2 linked regions of the Oryctolagus cuniculus genome follow. The main gene of each other region encodes a partner of the protein of the gene in region 2 in a complex. Links are inferred from orthologs where the notes say so. Each region holds a gene or a part of one and is shown on either strand. Other genes may lie near its edges.

Region 1 (4,368 bases), on a different chromosome or scaffold from region 2:
CTAAAGAAGGGGCCAGTGATTTCTACTCGCTCTACGGCTGGTTTCAGACCCTCCAAGCCCAACCAATCCCCCTCTGTCAGGCAGGCGCTTCCTTTCCCTGGACACAAATCTGCACAGTGCTGAGCACTTTACCAGCAGTTCCCAAACTCCTCTCCCACTGGGTTGCTGCAGCTTCGACCCGAAGCACCCAACGGAGGTTGCAGCTAGATAAGCTCTCCAGTTAACAAGCCCTCATTGAGCCATTTAGGGAGGCCCTGACCCGCGACCTGACCTGAAACTCCATAACCTTCCCACCCACACCAACTCCCCCGCCCCCCACGGTATTCTGTTCTCCTCTCCTCACACCTGTCACCGATGTACTTTAAATTTAGGTGCCTTCTGCCTCTGCTGCCCACTGCTGTGTCTCCCCCCAATGTCCATCTACAGCATGCCTAAAATTTTACTCCCTATATGGGCAGGAAAAAAAAAAGGAATATAATTTACAGTGATAAAGAACCTAACGGTCCTAATGACGCAGGCTGTGCCACTGGCAGTATTTGCAAATACTCGAGTTTGCTGAATGGGCGAACACAAGCGATCATTCTCCAAAGCTGCTGTGCGTCAGGCCCACGTGGGAGCGCTCAGGACGCGGACTCCCAGACCCGCGCCCACCAAGCGATCCCGTCAAGTCCTGCATCACCGCCAGGAATCGGGGGTGCTGGGCTCAGCTCCGGCGCGGGCGAGCGCAGCCGAGCCGCTAGGGAAGCCCGCGACTACAGTTAGCGAAACAAATGCGTGTTGAGCGCCTGCTGGATACCCGGCGCAGCGGCTCCTCCGGGGGCGGAGAAAGGCACGGTCCCCGCCCTCCCGAGGCTCGCAGGCCCGCGCCGGGGGGCGGCGGAGGCTCCGCGGCGGCCCCCGGGGCCCGCGTCCCCGGGCTCCCTCCCACCTGAGCGCTGCCCGCCGCCGCCGCAGGTCGCCGAGGCTCCGCCCCCGCAGCCTCGCCGCCCACCGCGCGCCCCGCCCGAGCGCGCCCAGCCCGCGCGCCGCGGCCTCCCTCACCGGCGGGCCCCGCAGGCGCCGCAGCAGCGCGTCCTCGTCGTCCTCCACGTCGCCGAAGACCAGCTCCTCCAGACACCGCTCCGCGTCCGGCTTGTCGTCCTCCAGCGTCAGGCGGTTGCGCTGCCGGAGCAGTCTCTCTTCCTCCGCCGCCGCGACTGCCATCGCCGCGGCCGCCGCGCTCGGCCGGGCCGGCGCTTTCTGCTGGGATGAAAGGGCAGACTTTCGGGGCGGCCCGCCCGTCGCCACAATGGCTCTCCGTTCTGGCTTCATTCGAGTCTTCCGATCCGGCTTCGCTCCGGTTCTCCGGCCCGGTTTCGTTCGGCTCCTCCGTTCCGGCGGCATCGTTGAGTTTGAGAAGAAACGCAGGCGCTCACGTGGAACCTCAAGCGCATGCGCCCAGGCGCCTCACCTCCCGCGGCCGCCGCAGCCCCGGGGGCCGGAAGGAGCCTGCGCAGCCTCTTGCCACGTGACCAACCCTCCCCGCCCCCACACTACGTAACTCTGTTCCTCCTCGCCTGCCCCGCCCCGAGTGGGAGTTCCTTTGGGAGAAGCAATCTTCCGGGTGTAGGGGTAAGCGGCATGACTGGAGTGGAAAATTTTCCCCAACACAACCTCGCAGCTGGAGCATATCGAAAGACGTTTAAGGGAACAGGAGCACCAGCTGGGATGACTGAATGAGACGCCTCCTTTTCCTCCAGACTTTCTAGCCACTCGACAGAACGCCAGCCTCAGTTACTTTTCCCACCCTCGGTCTTGGTACGGTCCGTAGAGTACGGAGCCTGCCGAGGGTCCCACGCTGGAAGAGCGAGAGGAGGGTATGTGGGGAAGTGGGCCAATCGGGGCGCGGGTCACGGCGCAGGCGCGCTGGGAGGGAGGGCTATGCTAATGTTGTTGATATCCTGGGGCCACCCGAGTTAAAGGGGGGAAATCCGGGGGCTGCTGCAGCCGCCACCGGTCTGGGCCCAGCCGGGAACCCCTGTAGTCGCCGCAGTCCGGGGGAGAGGCACCTGCCCCCAGCTCGGGGAGGGGGCGCCGCGGGCTCGGGGAGCACGGACAACCCCTACCCATGAGGCCCTGATGGAAAACACAAAGGATCTGGTGAGAGCCGAGCGCGGCAGCCGCTTTGTGTGCCAGGTGGGGGGGCACGCCTCCAGCTCCCTGACCCCGCTCCCAGGCCCGCTCCTCCGCCCCACGCCCCCTCACCCCGCGGAGCCCCCTCCCCCTACCGGCCGTTAAACGTCTCAGGGGCTCCCCTCCCCCACTGCCTCAGCCCGGGACGCGTCGAGGTTCTCTCCGGCTCATCCAGTCGGGAAGGAAATTTTGAAAAGAAAGTTTTTTCTCTACGCCCCCGTCCCCGTGTCGCTGCGGCTGGGGGTTGGGGGTCGGGGGGAAGGCTGGGTCTGAGACTTTTTCCTTTTTGAGCCGCCCGGGGTGGGCGAGCCGAGTCCTCACCTCCCAGGGGGTCGCAGGCGCGGGGTTTGGGGGCTTTGCCGGGGGAGGTGCCGCGAGGCATTTTGCACGTGGAGGTGGAAATGTTGCAAGGGGGCGGGGTGGGCACGTGTGGGAGGGCGGGGTGGGAGTGGTGTTTGGGGCCGCTCCCTTAGAAGGGTCCCGAGGCGGTGGGCTTGGGTGCGCTCGGCGTTCTCCTGTGTGAACTGAGAATCCTCACGTTTCAGAGTCGGAGGAGACGTTAGAGGTCACCACGGCCGCCGTCCCCCGTGCAGCCTCTCTGACAAGTGGTAGGTAGTCTGGCCTCGGGCAGGAAAGCCCCTTCCGTGTTTCAGTGGTTCGCATTGCTGTGTGCCTGTCCTTAGAGATCCTCCGCTGTCATTCGCGTCCTGGTGAAGTTGCTCTTTTTTTTTTTTTTTTTTCCAACTTCTCAAATTTTTCTCTCACATCCTCCTCACCCACCCACTGCTCATTGGCCTATATTTTGTGTACCAGGAAAGAACAGCAGGCAGGGAAGTGGAGGAAAGAGAATGTGAGGGCGAGCGAGGGCCAGCTGAAAACTTTGCCGGGTCGGTGTCAAGCGTGCTGGCTTAGACGTCTGAAGAAACTGGTGTTGTGCTTTTTTGTTACACACACACACACACACACACACACAGGAAACCAGGGAATGACAGTCTGAGGGTTTCCAGGCCGTTTTCTCTCCCTAGTCAGTGCATCTTTTTGAAGTTGGACATTTGAGCGTCATCGGTATAGTCAGCCCTACCATGAAGTGTGTTTGCTTGCTACCTAAACCGCTTTCCCTAAGGAAGCCTGGCGTTGCCTTGTGGTGATGCTACTGAGCCGTTAGAAAGAAACAGCCGGTGGAGCTGAGCAGAACAGCATCCCTCCGCCAGCGTTCTCGCTTGTTTAACTTATCAGAGCTGGTCTCCCACCCAGGAGCCCCTCTTCCAGCAACTCCATCATAGAGAGACTTGCAGCTTATGCAACACCTTAGTATTTCCTTAGAATTTGCAGTATTTTAATGCTGCTCGCATGAGTACACCCCAGTATTTATCACTGGGTAGTTAAGGCAGTTCAGCTTCAGCTGTTGTCACTCAGTGATTGTCTAAAGCTCTCTTTCCTTGTGAGCTAGCTGCCTCCAGTAGTTTAGATGGCATAAGAAGGGGGTGGTGGTACATATGTTTTCCCTTTCCTAATATGGTGAAGTAAGAATTAATACATATTATGTCGAAGTCATGTCTAAAAGCAAGTGAATACATTTTACTCTAAGTTCCTGATAGCCTGTTTAAAAGGTCTGAGAGACCACAATTTTTCCCCTCCCTCTCAAGATATGTAGACTGTTGCTTTGCTTTTGGTTGCTAAAGGTGTTATTTCTCATTTGTTTACCTCAACACTCAAAAGTCTTTAAAAAGAAAACAGCTGTCTCTTTTTGTACCATCTCCTCTGTATAACAGGTAGCTTCTATTTGTATAGAACTCTGTAGTCAAGGCCTGTGTATACGTTGCATATTATGGCAAAAATCTGTTTTTGAGTAAGTATTCAGAGTGTCCTATGTTGGGACATGTTTTTCAACCATCCGAGTTTTAATCCTAATGTAAACTTTGGTATAGCGTTTTCTCTGAAGCTAGAAAATGGAATGTAGTGTGGAATTGAGTACTACGTCACAAACAAAATTACTAGAGCTACATAATTGTGTCTTTCAAGTTTTAATTAATACAGTTCCAAGTTGTTTTCCTGCTTGCTTTAAACATGAAGTGTCATGAGTTAAGTTGACTGGCTTTGGAGATATTTGCATTCTGAACATACTAGACAGGAACAACTGGTTTTATTTTTAAAGAAGACGCTGCTATATTTTTTATGGCTGGTTGTAAAACATAG
Region 2 (4,258 bases):
GCCTAGAATACAGAGAGAAACTCCAGGGGCCCACACAGCACCTGAAAAGAGAAACAAAATTCTATCTATATGTCCTTATGCACATTTTTTCCAAGAGGCAGATTAATAGCTCTCATCAGATTCCCAACTAACCCACTAAAGGTTCAGCATCAATGATACTGGGGCCAGTGCCGAGGTGCAGCAGATTAAAGCCCCGGCCTGCAGTGCTGGCATCTCATATAGGTACCAGTTTGAGTCCCAGCTGCTCGACTTCTGGTCCTGCTCCCTGCTAATGTGCCTCGGAAAACAGCAGAAGATGGCTCAAGTCCTTGGGCCCCTGCACCCACGTGGAAGACCCGGAACAAGTTCCTGGCTCCTGGCTTTGGATCAGCTCAGCCCTGGCCGTTGTGGCCATTTGGGGAGTGAACCAGTGGATGGAAGATCTCTTTTACCTCTCTCTGTAACTCTTTCAAATAAATACAATAAATCTTATAAAACAAAAACAATCCCTGATACCAGCACCTAGATGGCCATCAGTGAACTGTGCAAAGCCAACACTGGACGTGAGGGTAAATCTGTGGCACCACTAGATCCACCGATGCCTTCTGAATCCCCAAGATTAAAGTATTCAATTCCCTGTCAGTGTATTCTACACACACACACACACACACACACAAATGGGTTACCAGTCCTCAGACACTGTAGAATATTTGACACAAAGGTGTAAGGATGAGAAAGTCACAGTACTGAGGACCCACATCCCAGGATCACATAATATAAGCTTTGTTCCCTTGAATTAATAACTGATACAAAACCTAAAAGGTACCTTCTCCTTGCCTGAAGGAAGGCAGTGGTCATACTGTTCCCTACTGACAAGATCTTGTGAACGCGTTTGCTCTCTCTATTCCTTGTGGACTGTGAAGTACCTCAGTCACACACTATAGCAGCCCCTAAAACGTGTGTGCAAGGACTGTGTGTGCACGTGCTAGATTCACTGCTGCTTCAATGAGCAGAGTGCCCGTTACAGAGCCTATTAGGTATTCTTCAGATGCTATATTGCTAAAAAGGATGGAGACTTGCTGTGGTCTCCCATATAGTCTTCATATGATCCTCAGCACTGGAGCTCCTGGGAAACTCAAAATAAGGCGGAGACGGCTTTCCAAACTTTGCACTTGTAACTCTCTTACAGACAGAACCTCTTCCATGTATTCTCCTTCAGTTTACCCTCCAGCTTCCCTGCAGTGAGACACACGGTGAACCCTGACATCGAAAAAGAACCGAACAGGCCTTAGAGTCCATGTTGGCTCTCAGACGAGCACACTGAGCGCCAGAGAGGCTGCCGACACCACCAGCCCCATACAAGAACCTGGCAGCAAAGGTGGGCCTGAGAAACACAGCATCAGAGTTCGGAGCGTGGATTCTGCAGCCACACAGACCTGAGTTTAACTCCTGGCTCTACCGCCCACCAGCACGGGGACCTTAGCCCACATAACCTCATCGGCCCTAAAGGGTTTAGGGGTGAGCTGTATGGATGTTTGCCATCTACTCTGAAATGTCAAAGTGGACTGGCAGCTGGATAGATGAATAGATGCGTGACAAAGCAATGGCAAAAATATTAATTGTAGATTTTTGGGCAGATATCTACTGAACGAGCCAACATTTCCTACGTTGAGGAATACAGTACTAGAGTGGGGGAGCAAAATTATTAGACTGCAAGTGAATAACAAGACAGTGGGAACACAGCTGCTTAGCATGGTGCTTGGCCCAATCCATGCTAGCTGCTTGCAGTAACAGGTGCTTTGTTGAGTCAGGGTCAGACGTTTCCCTACTGGAAAGATGATGCTCAAAACAGAAACCAGGGGCTTGTCTTTGGCCCTTTCCATGAGCAGCATCGGGCTGAGAGGCATGTCTTCACTTCATATAAAGTGCAGGGTTTTGTAGCTGTCTAGCCTCTAGGGCAGGGCTCTTAGCCTGGAGCGCAGGGGGCTGAGAAAGGGCGGCAGAAACACATGGACGTGCGAATGCCAGCTTTACCCTTTAAACTACAGTGGCAAGTGGACTAGCGGCCTCTCCCATCCTTATTTTTTTGCCGGTAAAACAATATTGTAGGGGAATGGACTTGGCATCCCTGTCACTTTAATAAAATCAGGACCGGAGCGACCAAGAAAGATGCTTGCAGGAGTGGGTCAATCAGATCACTCCTCTCACAGCTCCCGGGCCTGGGAACCAGAGCGAGCTTTCAAACTCCTACAGTTTCCCTGCCATGCCGACAAAACCCTGCACAGAGGACCCCTACCAGGACACAGTCATTTTATCGGCCCACACGTTTATCCTCTCAGCTCACCGCACGGAAATGTAAGCGCCGGGAAAGCAGGGACCTTTTCTATCCTGTTCCCCGCCGCATCCCGGCGTCGCCAGCCGAGGCCTGGCACGCAGCCGGGAGCGCCATCAACACCTGTCGGTGAACTGGCACAAACCGCCCCCTGCTCCCCGCGGCCCGTCGCCTTTCTCCCACCCCCACCCTGCCCTGCGGAAATGCGGGGCAGACCCCCGGCCCCCGCTTCAGCGGCTGTGGCGCCGCAGCGGCCCTGCCGGAGCCCCCAGCTCCCCGGTCCGCCCGCCACACCTCTCGCGCGTTCTCCTGGCCCACGAGCCCTGAGGCCGCCTGCTTGGCCAAGCCGCTCTCGTCCAGCCCCAGCCCCTTCACGTGGCTGTGGGAGGCGATGCGCTGCGTCTTCGTGGTGCTCTTCACCTCCTCAATTTTCATTTTTGCAGGCGACGGGAGCCAAAACCAACGTGGAAAATCAGGACCTACAGCTGCGCGCCTGGCGCCCGGGTAACCATGCGGCTGTTACCACGGCGGTTTGCAAGGGCCCGCCCAGGTCCTTGCTCTATTGGCGGAAGCGGAAACGCCTCCGTTCCCCATTGGTTTAAGGCCGCGTCCATCGCGATTGCCGGTGGAACCCCGCCCATTTACTTCCGGCTGTGTCACTGGGTTGAATTTCCCCCGAGCCGCCACTTCCTGCCCCGGCCGGTGGCGGGAAGGCAGAAAGGTAAGTCACGGTGCGAGTTTGGAGGTGGTGCTTCAAATCTGGATTTTAATCGTTCCATCTAATCTATTATCATACTTAAACGTCACGCCTTTCCGCGGAGCTCAGGTTATGGCCTCAGTTTGGACATGCAGGAACTGAGGCGAGCTTAAGCTTTGACTTTGGGTTGGTTACTCCGAAGTTTTCCAACTCCCAAGCGTTTGCACGTGCCTGCGAAGGTCCCGCTCAGCCAGCCATTCCCAACGCTGCTCCGCTCAGAATCCTCCGTGGAACTGGCTTCTCTGCTTCTCTCCTCCACCCTCCTCCTCTGCTTAAGTTGCCTGCGAATAGCGTTGCACAGCCCTGTAAGGTGGTATAATGCCTAACGCAGATAAAAAGGCTCATGAAAAAAGGTCCAGTGACCTGCGCTGGAACACACAGCGATGAGCAGAACGGGAAACCCCAGAGGAGACTGAGCCCGTGTAACCCTCAGCCCATCCCAGCACCTCAGAAAAGACCATCACTCTCCTGTCGGCTTCATAATGGATTCAGCACCACTGGGATGGAAGCTTCTGACGTTCTTCAGAGCCCCGAGGGACGGGGGCCAGGTCTTGGAAGGCTAAAGTTGTTAGTGGTAGTGTGTGATTAATCAGCCCTAAAGACACCCCCTCAGGACACCCAGAGATGCTCAGCGTATCATTGACAGGCCTGGTCGTAAGTGTTGCATAAAGAACTGTTCCTTTCAGGGTGTGGAAGGAAGGCTTTCCACCAACGAATATCAAAGTGAGGTGCTCTGTAGCAACAACCTGTGTGTGTTGTCCAGTGAGGAGGAAAGACCGGTTTTACATTTATTATTTTAAGCCCTCAAACTCTTCTCTCTTTTGGCACTGAGCAAAGAGAAGGATTTCCTGGCAGCCAAAAGAAGGGGAGGATGCAGAGGTTTTTAGGGCTCAGAGGAAGCTCCTGGACCACTTGGTCCAGTGGCTTTCAAAGTATACTCCCTGGAGTTATAGAATCGTTTTGTGGCCAGAATGGGTAGTGAAGGGGAAGGCTGAGAATTTAGGACACTACCTCCATTATACCCCAGCACCCACTCCTTGTTCCACCAGAGCTGCTTTGGTTTTTTATGCTATTGACCTGGTCAAAAGTCACTGATCCATCCTGGCATTTTCATATTACAGGTGAGGAAACCGAGGCCACAGGAGAGGAGAGGATTTGGCCAAGGTTACAAACTCAGCAAATGCCTGGCA

What was found. The genes of interacting proteins can lie anywhere in the genome.
Region 1: RUVBL1 (region 2) and MBTD1 share a complex: the UniProt entries of both Homo sapiens proteins name them as parts of the nuA4 histone acetyltransferase complex. The link is inferred for Oryctolagus cuniculus from reciprocal best matches to the Homo sapiens genes RUVBL1 and MBTD1.

The regions. Positions count from the first base shown.
Region 1 is NC_091448.1:27,053,619-27,057,986, reverse strand, and holds the start of MBTD1 (MBT domain-containing protein 1), read left to right. Parts: upstream 1-1,526; 5' UTR 1,527-1,856; exon of another isoform or gene 1,857-2,175; intron 2,176-2,717; 5' UTR 2,718-2,780; intron 2,781-4,368. Other genes in the region: UTP18 (U3 small nucleolar RNA-associated protein 18 homolog), read right to left, coding at 1,042-1,383. UniProt on the Homo sapiens protein: Chromatin reader component of the NuA4 histone acetyltransferase complex, a multiprotein complex involved in transcriptional activation of select genes principally by acetylation of nucleosomal histones H4 and H2A.
Region 2 is NC_091441.1:110,808,838-110,813,095, forward strand, and holds the start of RUVBL1 (ruvB-like 1), read right to left. Parts: upstream 2,857-4,258; 5' UTR 2,747-2,856; coding exon 2,606-2,746; intron 1-2,605. UniProt on the Homo sapiens protein: Possesses single-stranded DNA-stimulated ATPase and ATP-dependent DNA helicase (3' to 5') activity; hexamerization is thought to be critical for ATP hydrolysis and adjacent subunits in the ring-like structure contribute to the ATPase activity.